Diceros bicornis minor: one gene and its partner. The protein of the gene in region 1 purifies or fractionates together with the protein of each later gene. This does not show direct contact. Links are inferred from orthologs where the notes say so. Each region holds a gene or a part of one and is shown on either strand. Other genes may lie near its edges.

Region 1 (7,785 bases):
ATTTTGTACCTGAGATTTAAAATACTGAATGCCTATTATGTACAAGGTACCTTATAAATATCCGAACCTTCCTAATAATGCCCTGAGGAAGGTATTATTACGCCTATTTTGCAACTGTGGAAACTGAGGCTGGAAGATTCATTTAGTAAGGCTTGCCCAAGGTCACCATAGCTAGTCAATGGCAAAGCTGGGATTCTAATCCAGGTCTGTTTGACCCCCCACATTTATGCAGCATCTACAGAAATGGAGAGAAACATCTTAACTCAGGTTTTGACTTAAACTGCATTTCTGAGCAGAGTAAAATTTTAAAAAATTAAAACATCCAAATGACTCCAGAACCTATGTAGCATTTTCAGAATGAAAAGGAACATCTTAATCCAGGCTTTAGTTTAAAATTCATTGACCAGCAATGAGTACTTTTTTTAAATGAAAACATCCAAATGCCTTAATAATGTGTTTTTATTTTAGGAGGGAGAGAAAAAACCCAAACAAACAAAATCTCTGAAACCAGTATGCAAATGCAATTAGGATCACAGCTCATCTCTTTAAAACTCCTTGGCTATTAAATCGATATATTTTAAGTGAAACAGTGAATACATTAGTCAATCAGAATTCATATTTACTTCAGAAAAGTCTACTATTAAATCAGAAATATTACAACACTCTTGAGATCCTGGGGATGGGAGAGGAGTGATAGAAAAAAAATGGTTAAAAATAACACTATAACCCCCTGCTTGAGACAAAATAGAGCACATTCCTGATTTCCACACTAATGTTGAAAACACAAGCATGGAAAATCTAATTTTCTCAATACTAACATCTAGCCACAAGGCACTTATCTGGTAAATATTACTTTAGTTCATTCATTTACTTCTCCACTTAATAAACATTTTAGCATCTAATACCTGCCAGTTAAGGGTGTTGAAAAAGTTAGTCAGAAAAACAGAAACACAGTCAACGGATAAAAAGTAATTCAGCTCAATTACATTTTTTTAAATTGCTGATTTTATATTTGTATCGATGCCTTCATAATACTCTCAATCACATATCTGAAACACAAAAGGAACAAATTTTCCTAAAAGCTGCAGGTTAGTACTTTAAAACCCATCTTAGTGATAAAAAAATAGATACAGTACTTGATCCTATCTTTAGACTAGTGGTACACAGTTACTACTTCTGTGTATACACATTATTTTTCACTGCCAAACCCTACCTTTGGGAAGAAATGCAGAGATCATAAACATTTTTCTCCAAATACTGCTTCCATAATGAGTGTCAAGAATACAGTATTCAACATTATAAATCTAACTATAAATCTTATTTGAGCATGAAAATGTCACCATTTCTACCTGCATTTCTAGGGACTGGAGAATGTGGCCTACTGAAGCATAAAAATAAAAATCCCAGCAGTGCCAAGGCTCACTATGCACCTGAAATAAATAAACCTCTTTAGAATACAAATTTCTCACCTGTAAAATCCGGATCAATCATACCGATGGTCAATGTTATCAGGAATGACAGATTAGATACAATAGGCTGAGACAGACCTCAAAATACTACACACAAACACCCAGTGCATACTTCAGCACAAGGATACAAACCACCCCCCCAAAAAAGGACCTCCCTCTGCCTCACTGATTATGCATAAAACATTAGGCCACCTCTATGCTGTTTAATATATTAACATAGAGCACGTGACCACTCAAGTGTCAAATCCTTAGTAGGTGATTATGGATTTTGGCCTTGGTTACCTTTAAAGTTCTTGATCACTAACTTCTTAGCAGAGCCAGGCTTGCTGTTAGCAAAGCTAGAGGCGGTGGTAGATTTGGCTAGGCCGTTTGCGTGATGCACCGAAGCCACAGAAGAGATTAATATACTCTTATTTTTAAGTTGCTGCTGCTGAGATGTTGCAGCAGTTGGTGAAGAGGAGGAGGAGGAGGAGGAGGATTCCTCAGCCATCTTCGCATCAAACCCTACAAACTCCAGGTTGTCGTCAAAACGCAGCTTCTTCTGTACCGGTACGTGGCTGGAAGCAGCCACTGAAACCCCCAGGCAGAAGGACGAGGTTGAAGGGGATGCCGAATCCCTGGGTTGTAAAGGAGGAGAGGAAGAGGCGGAATCAAAGTCTTCTCTCTCGTTACTACTGTTACTGCTGCTACTGCTGTTTAACTTTCTCTTCTTAGCAGAGGTGGGCGGAGTGGTGCTGGTATTACCATCAGTGGCAGATCTGACCTCCTGAGCAGCAGCAGCAGCTGAGGGATTGGGGGAAGAAAAACCTGTTGGAAACATGAAAATAGCGGGGTCAACAGGCAGAGGAGCATCAAAAACCTAGGTTTATATGCCTGCGTGCGTGTAGGAGAGAAGGTGGCAGTGCTAGAGGGGGAAGGGAAGAAAGAAGAGAGGAGAAACACAGAGGACGAGAAGGAAAGTGAAGGGGGGGCTACACCGGGGGAATGGGAGGGTTTGGGAAGGCGGATAGGCTGACACCAGGAGTGAGCAGAACGAGGGGGGAGAACGAATGAGGAGGCAGACAGGTAAACGGCCGTGCCGTCCCCCTCCCCTGCTTTTCGGTCTCTCTCCCCCCTTTCTGCAGGAGCGACTCAGTGAGTCTGTGAGGCGGCAGCTCCTCCTCCTTTTCTCCCTCTCTCTGGGAGGGGAGATGCCGGGGCTGGGGGGAGGGGGAAGGGGGAGAGGACCGGGGCTTGTTATTGTCAATAGCACAAGAGGCTAAAGATGGCGCCACTTCCGGTCACGCGGCCGCGAGGGAGGGGCGGCGTCTGTCCCCGGGAGTGGGGGGTGGAGAGAAGCACTGCAGGCGCCGGGGGGCGGGGGAGCTGGCTCGCGGGGAGGCGATGGGCAAGGGGCGGCTAAGGCGCCCGAGACGCTCGTGCTCCTTCGTTCGCTCTGGCTCTCCCTCCCCCTTCCTCACCCGCTCCCCGTCCCTGGCAGCACTCTCCTCACCCGGCCCGCCGGTAACTCCCACCCCTCCTTAACGGTCCCGCGGGAAGCTTCGCGCCGCAACGCCCTTACCGGAAGTGACTGGGCAGACACTTTTCATAGCGCCCAGATCCCGAAGCCCCCAGGTCCGCAGGACTTGAGCGGGGGGGTGGGGGAGGGAGAAAAGGGGGGGAAGAGAAGTGGAAAGGGAGGAGGGGGCGGGCCTCCGGGCACCCTCGGAGCTCCTGATTGGAGCTTTCTGGACGTGAGGCGGGCGGGTGAAGGGGGGGTGGCGGGAGAAGGAGCGGGAAGGAGGCTGAAGGGGAGGGGCGGTGGTGACGGTGAGGGGCGGGGTGAGCTAGCTGGGAAAAAAGAGGAGGAGGGAGAGAGGAAGGGAGGGAGTAAAAAGTAAGGGAACGGAGAATGGAAACTTTGAAAGAGATAAAGGAATAAGGAGGAGTTGCAAGGCGAGGGGAGTAACCCGAAATGGAAGAAAATATAATGATGCCATTATGCCTCCAACTAAGGAGGAATGTCATGTTAAGATAGGAAAAGAAAAAGAGCTTAGATGGAAAGAAAGGGAGTTTTTGATTCAGTTGATCTATAAGTTGTTTCTCTTTTATGTCAAGGACACCACTGACCCAATACTGAATAGGGCCTGAATTTTGATACCTTTCTCAGTAATATAGCTGCAAATCCTTTTCCCTTCCTACCAGGAGCATTTTCTAAGATAGCTGGCCAGAGTTAAACGTGCATTTTAAGGCCAAGAAACAGGAAGGTAACTAACACGACCCCCACCCCACACGACACAACCCCCAGGACCAACCCCAACCCCGACCCCCATCAGTCATTAACCTAGTAATTTACAGACTAAACAAAGCCACTTCTTTTACCAAATCTCAGTTTATACACTTCTTTGAGACAAAGTGTATAATATTGGCAATACAATATTGGCAAAAGTCAATGTTTTCTACCAATGTATTCCATGAGCCCAAATTTTAAAATAGATTACTCACGAGAACAAACCTGTAAATTGGCAACAATAAACCTTGTAAATTCCCTGTTGGGAGTTTTTATTTAATTCAAAGGCATTTGGGAGGGGTGGGAGAACACAATGTCAAATAAAACTAAATTTGCCAACCTGTTGATCATTGTAACTGCAGAAACATTCAACAAGCAGGTATTGAACGACTTTGTATGCCAGACACTATACTAGATGCCTGCCATTGAGAAGGCAGTGGGGGAAGATAGTTTCAAAACTAATTTCCATAACAGTACTATAACAAATGTACAAAGTGCTATGGGAACAGGTGAAACAAGAAATTTGGGGGAATTTTGGAATAGTCAGAGTTTCACAGAGGAATTTATATTTATGCTGGGTCTCAAAGTAGGAATTGCCAAAAAGACAAGAGGGGAGAGCATGAAAGGCATTCTGGGAAGTGGAAACACGGGCAAGGCAGGGAGTTGTGAAAGTGCCTGGCCTGTTTGTGGACATATGGAAAGTGCTGGAAAGTAGGATGTCTGGTTGGAAGGAAGGAAGATGAGGCTTAAGAGTGCCTGGCACACAAAGCCAAAAATTTTGGAGTCTACCCTGTAGGCTAGGGTAGGCAGCATGGAGATGAGCCAGCAAGCTGGGCTTTTAAAAGCAGGGGCGTGACAAGATTGTGGGTGGAGTAAAAGCAGTTTGTATTGTATAGCTTGAGATAGACAAATCAGAACGGTAAGAATAAGTCAATATTCTAACTTTGTTTACACAGACCCACTTTTTTGTTGTTTGTCTTGAAAAGTCCTCCTAGACTTTAAAAATGTCCTCCTAGACTAGTTAAAATGCAGATCCTCCTAGAAAAGGTACCACCTTGGGCCACTATCAGCTTTGTGCTGTTTGATGACAACAGGCAGAGAGAAAGGCTCTAATGGCACTTAGGACCCTAGGCTACAGAGAATGGAGATAGAGGCCTGAAAGGGAGAAGATTGACTCCTATCTGTTTTCAATGTACCCTATTGTTCTTGCTGCCTGAAATGAGACTGTAAACTCTTAAGGCCAGGGAAGGTGTCCTAAAACATTAAACCCTCCTTTATTGTGTCTCACATTTCACACGATGCTGATCAACTGTGTAAATGCAGAGTAAATACTTATTGAATTGAATATTTCATTGAATGAGAATAAAATAATGCTGTGCCTTTATAAGGGAGGATTAACTGGCTAATTTTCAGGATTTAATGAACAAAGTTGTTCTAATTCATATAGTTATATTCCTTAGAAGGGTGTATGGATGGACCCGCTGAGGACTTTTCAAGACAAAAAAAAAAAGTGGGCCTTGTTCTAATTCATGTAATTATATTCCTTAGAAAGGTGTATGGAGTGCTAGCTATTTTAAAAATTATAAATATTAGTGCAACTGAAAGGGAATGGGCATAAAGATAAAAAGAAAACTGCTTTTGCCATACAAAGATAAACTTTTATACTAACGTAAAGGATAGCTGAGTCCTGTTAATATTCAACTACATTCTAGTAATAATAGCTCCCAATCTGACATGATTATCTAAGCCCTTCAGTCTTCCCAGGTAAATGTTAGTTCTAAAAGCACAGACCCTTGGCTCTTGAGCTCTAGCTCACTTTAAATGACCCAGGGGCCTAATCTACTATTTAAGTTTTCCATGAAATATCCTTAAGTGAATTTTGTGGAAAAAATATTTTTTCTTTTTTTTTTCTTAGTGATTAATAATCTTCCTTTTGACATTTTAAAACCTCATTTTATTTTGTGCCAGGTGAATCGTCACATATTTAGCACATCTTAATATGGATATATAATTTAATAATTAATTTTAATAAATAATTTTAAACATTTAACATTTACATTTTGTGGCACAGACCAACTTAGTGTCTTCTTGGACACTCAGACCAATTTAAAAAGACGAAAAACCTCCCATGTTGCTTTGTAAAACATCTTTTACATCAAGAATCAACTAATTGGGGCTAGCTAAAACATAAGCATATGTTCTATACACCCAAACATTTGCCAACCAACATTAAACACATTCTCAACATTAAAATACATTTTTCAAGGTTAGACTCACTGAAACCACAATAATCAAGGCATGCACATAAATTATGGCCATTATCAGACTAAACCAGATTGGACACTTAACATATATTACATATATAGAATCTTTCATCTTGTGAGTTCAACTCATACCTTAGAAACATTAATTAAATTTTACAGTGCTACCAGATGAGGTATAGTTATTATTGGCCTTGTTTTAATCAAGTAAATAAATCAATCTGTAGCTATTTATAAAGGTAAATATATACACATAAAAGAAGAAATACAAAGACAGAGGACTAGTTTTTCTAATGTCCATTCCCCTATTTCTGTAGGTCTCTGTCTAAAAAGTATAACCTGTTTCGCTTTGATCACGGGGACTCCCCGGCGGGCTTGTGTTTGGGTCTTCTCCAGACATCTCAGAGCAGGAGCTTGTTGATGGACAGACACTCTTGGAAGCCTTGTTATTCATGTGTGGGAATTTCCTTAAAAATAGGAGATACTGCTTGCTCAGGAGAATACCAAAGATGATTCTGCAGCAAGCACTATTTAAGAATGTGTCCAGAAAAGACAACTGCTGAGCAAATGGTGGTCCATGGTTCTCTATCCACTCTTCTGAAGGACCATCTTTGAAGCAGGGCAACACTGAGAGGGCAAACCAAGCGGTGGTGAGATATTAACCATTATATCATAATAAGGGCTTTGTGATGCGAGCAACAGCAGGGGGCAGCTATGGGGGACTGGGGAGGCCAAACTTAAGCAAACATGACCCCACTACACTATGTGAATTCACCCTTTGCCCATCCTGGAGTTGCTTTATAAAGCAAAAGGAACTTAATAACAAATGCTGAACCTATGGTGCTCAGTAAAATGTAAATAAATAACACAGATCTCATATTTTTAACAAAATCGTTTATCTTCTATGTAAAATTATCTCATCAACTGGAGACTTACTGACTCAGGTACATCAGCCATTTGAGGACTTAGCACCTTAGCTCAGAGATTTTTATCTACTGTCATACCAGTGAACCATCTGGAAAGCAGATTTAAGGCCTTAACTGTTAGGGCCAGGCCATTTTCCCTAGGGGTTTGGGAATGGGGGACCGGATCAGCCACAGGTTACTTCTTCCTTTGGTACTGCCAAGCACCTGCTTATTATGGAGTTGCTGGGCCTATTTTTAACCTTCTGTTCACTCTATCAATGACCCCCACAGTCCCTCCACCCCCACCCTGCTTTAAGGTTTGATCTTCCAATGGCATTCAGCTTTTCTTTTTCTCAAGAGTAGGGCCAACTTAGGTTTAAATCAGCAGTTCCCAACTCTGACTGTACAACAGACTGTATGACAGAATTGCCTGGGGAGTTTTTTTAAAAAACCTCTTTGCCCAGGTCTGAACCTCATCCAGCTGAATTAGATCTCTGGAGTAAGGCCTCAATTATCAGGATTTTTAAGAATCTCACAGGGTGATTCTACATACCTCCAGGGTTGAGACCACAGCTGTAGTGAAGTAAGTACCTCTGTGATTTGAATGGGGCTGATAAGCCTTTGTACTCCCTTTAATGCCTGAAATTTCACAATTTATTCATTCCCTTCGATAAAATAGCCTCCTTCTCTAGGAATCCTTTTTTTCACATGAAAATTAGCCAGAGAGACTTAGTTCCTGACCCTTTAAGGTGAATGCTTCCTGGGAACAAAGGATAATACAAAAGTCCTAAGTGCCTGGAGGTAAACAGAACTAGGAGTAGGTATTGCAATGGAAGGGGAGAAAGTACATTTTGTTGACCTCACAATATTGCCTGGGGCCA
Region 2 (7,142 bases), on another chromosome or scaffold:
GTTGTTATTGCTTCAAACAGTTTTGGAAGTCTTTACAAATTACCTTTTAGCCCACGTACCCTTTCATTTCTTTTTTAGTGCCAAATTCTCTCTAGTTTGGCCTCTATTAAATTCATAATTTTAATTCTTACCTTCTGTGTCATCTCTCCTTCTCTGTACTGAGAAGTCTTTGTAAGCGACAGTGGTTATGGTACCCAGTAAGCTGATTTAGCTCATATATAACTGAAGGATACGAGAAATTATCTCATTTAACACAGATATGTCATTTTTCTATAAAGTTACTTTAAGTCCTATAAAAATTGGGGGCCTATTTGTAGATGTAGTAATACTAAAAAATTAAAACACTGAACTTTCTTCACCTATCATCTTAACATAGATGAAAAAAAATGGCAGTGTGCAATGTTGGCAAGGTGAGACAGGCACTTTCATATGTGTCTGACAGGAATCAGAATTGGTACAGCTGTCACAGAGAGTAATTGAATAACAGGTCTCCAAAATCTTCATAATCTTTGACTCATTCTAGGGATTTATCATAAGGACATAAATATAAAATATTTGCTTATAGAGGTTTTATTTAAACTAATGAAAAATTTTAAATAATGTTTTAGAAATATATTTATTAACATAGGTAGTTCACAATATATTGCATGAAAAAAAGCAGGCTACACAACAGTATGATTCCATGTTTATATTAAAATAAACATACACAAAGAAAAAATTTCCTTGGATATCCATTCAATCTCTGGGACCATAAATGATGTTTAGCTTCTTTTTGCTCATTTATTGCCTAGGTTTTCTACAATGAGTATATATTAATTGCATAGTTAAACATTATTAAATTATTTTGTTTTAAGTACCAGAATACCCAACCACCTTTTACAAAAATGTTTCTATGGGAAAATGTAGTCCAGATTCAAACAAGAACTATCAGTAATATATTCCTCATTCTAATAGCACTGGCAATGGAGATTCCTTCTTCATAACTCATTCTACCTCTCTTGCCCTCTACATAAAATCCCACCTTCAAAGAGTAGAAACAGCTACTTCTGAAGGCCTGACAGACTAGATAGGAGGTGGGGAGGAGAGGAACTGAGATATGGAGAAGAGAGGAACAGACTCCTGGTATTTTGGGAGGAGCCTTAGGAATAGGGCTTGGAGGAAGGAGTGGGGAGAGGAGGTTTCATGAACAAACCAGCAAAATAGTTTCTCCTCTCACCAATTTTCTTTGAATTCAGGTTCACATTCCTTGCTACAAGTTCTACCCAACTACTAAAGGAGAAGCTCCAGAGATCCCAGCACCGTGTATGATTAGGAAGAAGCATTTGCATCTGTGAAAAGGAATAAGGTGTGCCTGCTCACAGTGACTCCAGATTCTGTTGCTTTGCTCCTTCCTTGGCATATTTTAGGTCTTTCTTTAACAAAATTTTTTTGTTTGTTAACCTACAGTCTTTCAGCTTCCCTAACACGACATGCTGCCCCTCCAACCATAGGCTCTTTGACATACCAGTTCCTCCATCTGAAATACTTCTATCCCCTCCCCAACTCTGTCTTGACTAATTCATCTCCTATGCATTTTTCTGATCTTGGTTAAGTGTCACTTCCTCAGGGAAACCTTGAAAACCTAGTCCACAACAGGTTCCTTCAAGTCTTTATCTCAATTTGTAAATATACGTTATGAATTATTTAGTATGGTTATTACTATTAGTTGAACTAATAGTCCCAAGCTCAATGAAAGCAGTGCCATTAGCTAGTTTTGCTCACCTCTGCACGTGGAACTAGCAAGTGCTCAACAAATATTTGCTGAATGAGGGAACGAATGAATGAACAACTAAGCAGATGACTAGGAATCCAGAGACCTTGATGGGTAAGAGTTACATTAACTATGTTGTCTCACGATGGAACTGAGTGTAATTTTTTTCCTTGACTGCTGTTGAACTTGGTTGTGTACTCACAAAACAAAGTTTTAAAAATATATATTATTTTGAAAATTCCGCATACTCCAAAGTAAACTGAGGCCAAACATGAAATATTTAATCAGCCAGGAAGAAGGCTGGACACCCTTACCAGAAGCACGTAGTCTAGCCTGGGAACTTCACCAATGCGCCCCATCATAAGACACCTCTCGGCAGTGTCTTAGGATCTTACAGAGCCAGGGAACACACGCTTGTCCCCTCGGGGCAAGTCGGTCACAGGGTACGGGGACTCTGCAGGCGCCCGACCCTTGACACAAGCCTAGGTGAGGAAACGCAAGCCTCGGGTGACGGGAAAGGGGCGTCTTTCCTGAGCATCCACTGCGTCCCAGAAAGCCCGCGCTCTGGACCGGCTGACGGACCCGTGCGGCTTCAGGCTTTCTCCCTCACGGAGCCTCGGCGTCCTGAAGGTGACAGCGGGTCCCGGGCCTGCCCACCTCAACGGCGGCGGGGCCTCCGACCCTCAGAGAGTGCCGCGGCACGGGGCCGGCGGCCCAGCCACCTCGCCAACCCCGGCGCCGCCGGGCGACCCCGGCCGCCGGCCTCGGGCGCAGAGCCGGGCGGAGCGGCCCGCCCGCGGAGGGCCGCGCTTACCCGTCGGGCGAGTACTCGAGGTTGAAGACGGCGCCGTGGGTGCGCGTGCTGAGGTACACCGAGTCGGCGGGGTGGATGGAGCCGTAGAGGTTCGTCATGGTGCGGAAGTTGTCCCGCGCCGGGTCCACGAACAGCCCGCGGCCCAGGCTGCGCTCTCGCAGCCACCCGAAGAGCCGGGCGCCCGCGCCGCCCAGGCCGCCGCTGAGGCCCTGGCGGCCCCGGCTCCCGGCCCCGCAGTCTGGCCCGGGCCGCCGGCGCGGCGGGGAGGGCGACGCCGGCTCTCCCTGGGCGGCGGCAGCCGGAGACTCCAGGGCCCGGGCCAGGGAGGGGGCGCCGGCGCGGCGAGGGCTCCGGGAGGGCGACGGGGGACAGGCCGCGTCAGCCCCGGGCTGTGGCGGCGCGGGCGGGGAAGGGAGCGGCCCGGCGGCGGCCGCTGGCCCCCGGTGGGGCGCCGGCTCCTCCGCCCTGTCCCCTCCGGGACAACTGGACCCAGAGGGAAACATGACGCACACCCCCGCCCCCCCACTCCGGGCCGCTGCCCCGCCGGCCGACACCTCAGCCCTCCCCCTCCAGCCGCCACTTCCGGCGTGCGGCGGCCTAACCCCGCCGGCTGGGAAACCCGCGCCGCCCCTCGGCAGCCATCCGCCGGGGACCGCGAAAGCGGGGACACCGCCCGACCGCGGGTGCCGCAGCCCACAGGACAGAGGTCGGGAGCGACTGACTGGCTGTGTGCGCAACTGAAGATGCCCAGGGCCCGGGCTGTATGGGGCAGTGTCAGCATCAGGGCACGCGTGTGACAGTCAGTCTGCAGTTGTCAGTGACCGTGACTGTGCCTGGCGGGGAGGAGTGGGCCTGACTAGTCAGTCTAACAGGCCGGGTATGATTCTGTTATCCCCACTTTACTCTGAGATCTGCGAGGAGAAGAAATTACCAATATTATGTGCAGGTCACGCACAGTAAGGTGGCGTGGTGTATTGCCTACTCAGCCCAGGACCTAAGGACTCAGGTCAACTTCTGTACTAAAAAGCCCTGGTCTGTACAGGGCCTGGAAAATGGGGCCTGTTGGTGTCCTGAATATCTGCCCAACTCCCAGCGACTGCCCAGTAGGTCAAGACTTGATCAAGGCCAAAGCCTTCCTCTCTGCAGAAAGGAGGTATATCCAGCCAGGAGCCACTGAGGGGAGCTGGAGACCCAACTCAAATCAACCTTACAGGCAATAGAGCCCAGCGTCAATCGTGCTTACATCTGCCAGGCAGGGCATGGAGAGCATGACAGATGCAAGGCCCTTCACCACTGCTGTTGAAGATAAATACATAAAACTGTTTGCAGAAGGGGCAAGCCGGGTGGTGTAGCCGTTAAATTCATGCGCTCCACTTCTGTGGCCTGGGGTTCTCCTGTTCAGATCCCGGGCACGGACCTCGTCACCACTCATCAAGCCATGCTGAGGAGGCATCCCACATAGAAGAACTAGAGGAGCCTACAACTAGGATATACAACTATGTACTGGGGCTTTGGGAAGAAAAAAGAAAAAGAGGAAGATTGGCAACAGATGTTAGCTCAGTGCCAATTTTACTCAAAAAAAAAAAAAGGAATTGGGGTGTTTCTTGGGGAAGGAAGGAGAGTCTTCAATAAAGGAAAGCTTGAGTTACAAGGAGAGGTAGATATAAGAACTGACAACTTTCCTAGGCCTTGATCAAGAGCTGTGTTGTAGAAAGTTCACACTTGGTGACTGTGAGGATAAATCTAGAGGATCTTTGTAGGAAGATCTATCCTGTGAGGTCAGGTCTGAAGGATCTCTGGAGGAAGGGAATGAGATTCAGAGAGGGCTGAACATTCAGCACGCCCTCCCACCAGGAAAGTTAGTTTATTCAGCTCTCCTGTCCATGAGTTGATTGAAAAAAGGGCAAGAAGGAAGCGTCCTGAGTTCAGAGAAGATCAAGGCAGCCGTTCCTCTGGAGATATTCCCCATGTTGCCACCACAGAGCAGAAGGGGTAGAGGTCTGTTTTATGATTAACAAATAATGTCCCTTAATGACCCACAACTTCTGGCTGCAACAAATACTTAGTAGAGGCTCTCTGCTTGACCCCAAGTTATGGCCAATGGGTAAAATTTTATGGTCCACAAAACCTTACCATGATACATTCACCAATGTTATTAACTTTTTAAATAAGTAAAATAAAAGTCAATTTTAAAAAGTTACATATTCCAAGGTATTTAAGATGTAGTTTCAACAGAAAAACACAAGCTCTGAAAATGAGAGTTTGTGCTGGCTCAAGATAATCAGATTTCACAGTTCAGGCAATTCCAAATTAACACATTATAGTCCCCAAACTAATTAAGAACTGTTCATTGACAATTTAGAGAATCTAGAGAAGCCAAATGGGAACAAAAACATTTTGTAGGTTTGCATGTACCTCTCTCAGATAATGAGCATGATTCTTGAAAAGTTAAGATAACCACAAACCTAAGACAGTGGTGGTTGTAACACACAGAACAAGTCATTCAGTAATGCCAGGTTTTTTTTTCTTATGCTTCTACATAAAATGTGAGTGCTCACTCATTCCAAAAAATTTTACTAGAACCTAAATTAAGAATAAATCACATAAAGACTAAAATTCTGTTGAGATGACCGTGATTTTACCACCCATCATTAAAAAAAAAAAATCACTGGGGGTTAATTAACTGAGAAGGCACTAAAGATAGAACAACTTTAACTGTGCCTGCTCCTTTTTACCCACTGCCTTTGAGAGCCTTTAATTACAACCATGTTAACAGGAATTGATTTCAAATCAGTCTACATAGAACAACTTCTACATAACACTAGTTTTGAAAGCTAAAAAATTTTCAACTTCAATTGCTGAAATTCACAGATATCAGTTCATCATAAATACCTAAAGCATCCTCTGAACTGTTTGTCCTGATGCTCCTTTTAGATCACAACAAAAGTAAACGGTTGGCAAAGGTTTCCCCTAGGCCCAGGTATCCCATGTCGCTGGATACCCCCAACACTTAGGACCTAGCTCATCAAGCAGGCAGGGAGCAAATTTATTTACTTTCTTCCCTATCCGCTGACTAGATGTTTTTTAAAAATTACTTCCCAACTGATGTCTTATAATGCAATGTGCCTGGAATGTAAAAACTGGCCTTTCCATTCAGGCTTTTATACTTTGAGAGCAGCAAGTTTACTCCTCATGTCTTTGACATCATTGGTTCTGCCCATCCAATAGAATTCTTTGTTGGAACAAGACTGACAAAATGAGCAAGGCGGTTGGACATGGCATAAAAAGCTGAAATGGCAGCTATATCCCAGGTATCTTCTTGGTTTAAGCCATGCACCTCGAGCTTTTTGAAATGGCTGTCTGTTATGTCATCAGCTCAGGAAATAGCAAGTGCAAACTCCAGCACTGCCTTTTCCCGAGCAGGGAGGTCAGGCTTTCTCCAGCTCACCCAGACCTGCAAGAAAACACACGATCAGAAGCAGAATCTCTGTTCATGACAATATGGCCAGCCAATAAAACACAGGGCCTAACGAAATGGGCATTAATGAAAAAACCGAAGGTTAGAGGAAAGGGGCAAAGTCAGGCCAAAATAAACTTTCCAGATGGATAAGTATCTTGATCAAGTCCAATGGAATGCAAACCTGGAACTCTGGCTCAGCACCACCTCTGCCAAGAGGTCTTTGCTTACTCCAACTTCAACCACCTCTTTCTCCTCTGGACACCTGTGGCATCAAAAATCTCAGAACCAAGACTCGGAGACTCTGAGTACATAAGGACCCCAAATCCCAACCTTTTCATAGGAGAAAAGCTCAGAAGCTCAGCTAATTATCCCTATGTCCCCAATTAATCCCAAACAAGACACAATATTTGCAAAATTAATAGCTGACACTTAGCAATTACTATGTGCTAAGAATGTGCTCAATGCTTCATATTCATTATCTTATTTAATTCTTATAAAAATCCTAGGAAGTAGTACTGTCATTATCACCCCCATTTTATTAGCAAAGAAACTGAAGCTCAGAGAGGTGAAATGACTTCCCCAAGGTCACACAGCTAGAGATTGGCAGAGCTGGGATTTGAATCTAAGTTTACTGGATTCCAAAGACTATACTAATAATCATTACTCTTGCTGAAGCAAAATACTGGAAACCACTAAACACCTAAAAATAGAAGAGTAGTTCATCAAACCATGGTGTGACAGCACACCCTGTGGTCACTAGGGAGGTGATGCCTGAGAGACTGATCCTGGATGAGCAAAGGTCTTGCGACTAGGCAAGGGCCTCTCAGTGGAGCAAAGGGGATGATGTACCTGTCTTGAAATTACCTTCAGGCTGGCAACAGAGGCCTTTGGGGAACAGTCTGCAACATCTCCACTCAGGTGGGGTCAGAAGGGAAGGTTGGGAGGTGGGAAGATTAATGACCCTCAATCTTAGGAATAAATACAGAGAATGGATGATTCTGTTCCCCAGCCCGGAGGATCAGCAATTTCACTGTAGGGACCAGCAGGACTTTGTAAGCTTGGTGACAAACCCATGTTCGCTGTGTCTTTACCCTCAATCTGTTTCTCTGGGAAGAACT

Evidence for each region. The genes of interacting proteins can lie anywhere in the genome.
Region 2: the proteins of CUL4B (region 1) and DCAF10 purify together in Homo sapiens (affinity purification with mass spectrometry; 4 studies listed by BioGRID and IntAct, with this or other methods). This does not show direct contact. The link is inferred for Diceros bicornis minor from reciprocal best matches to the Homo sapiens genes CUL4B and DCAF10.

Annotation. Positions count from the first base shown.
Region 1 is NC_080781.1:111,043,168-111,050,952, forward strand, and holds the start of CUL4B (cullin-4B), read right to left. Parts: upstream 3,074-7,785; 5' UTR 3,059-3,073; coding exon 3,031-3,058; intron 2,277-3,030; coding exon 1,752-2,276; intron 1-1,751.
Region 2 is NC_080767.1:6,188,732-6,195,873, forward strand, and holds the start of DCAF10 (DDB1- and CUL4-associated factor 10), read right to left. Parts: upstream 3,068-7,142; coding exon 2,565-3,067; intron 1-2,564. UniProt on the Homo sapiens protein: May function as a substrate receptor for CUL4-DDB1 E3 ubiquitin-protein ligase complex.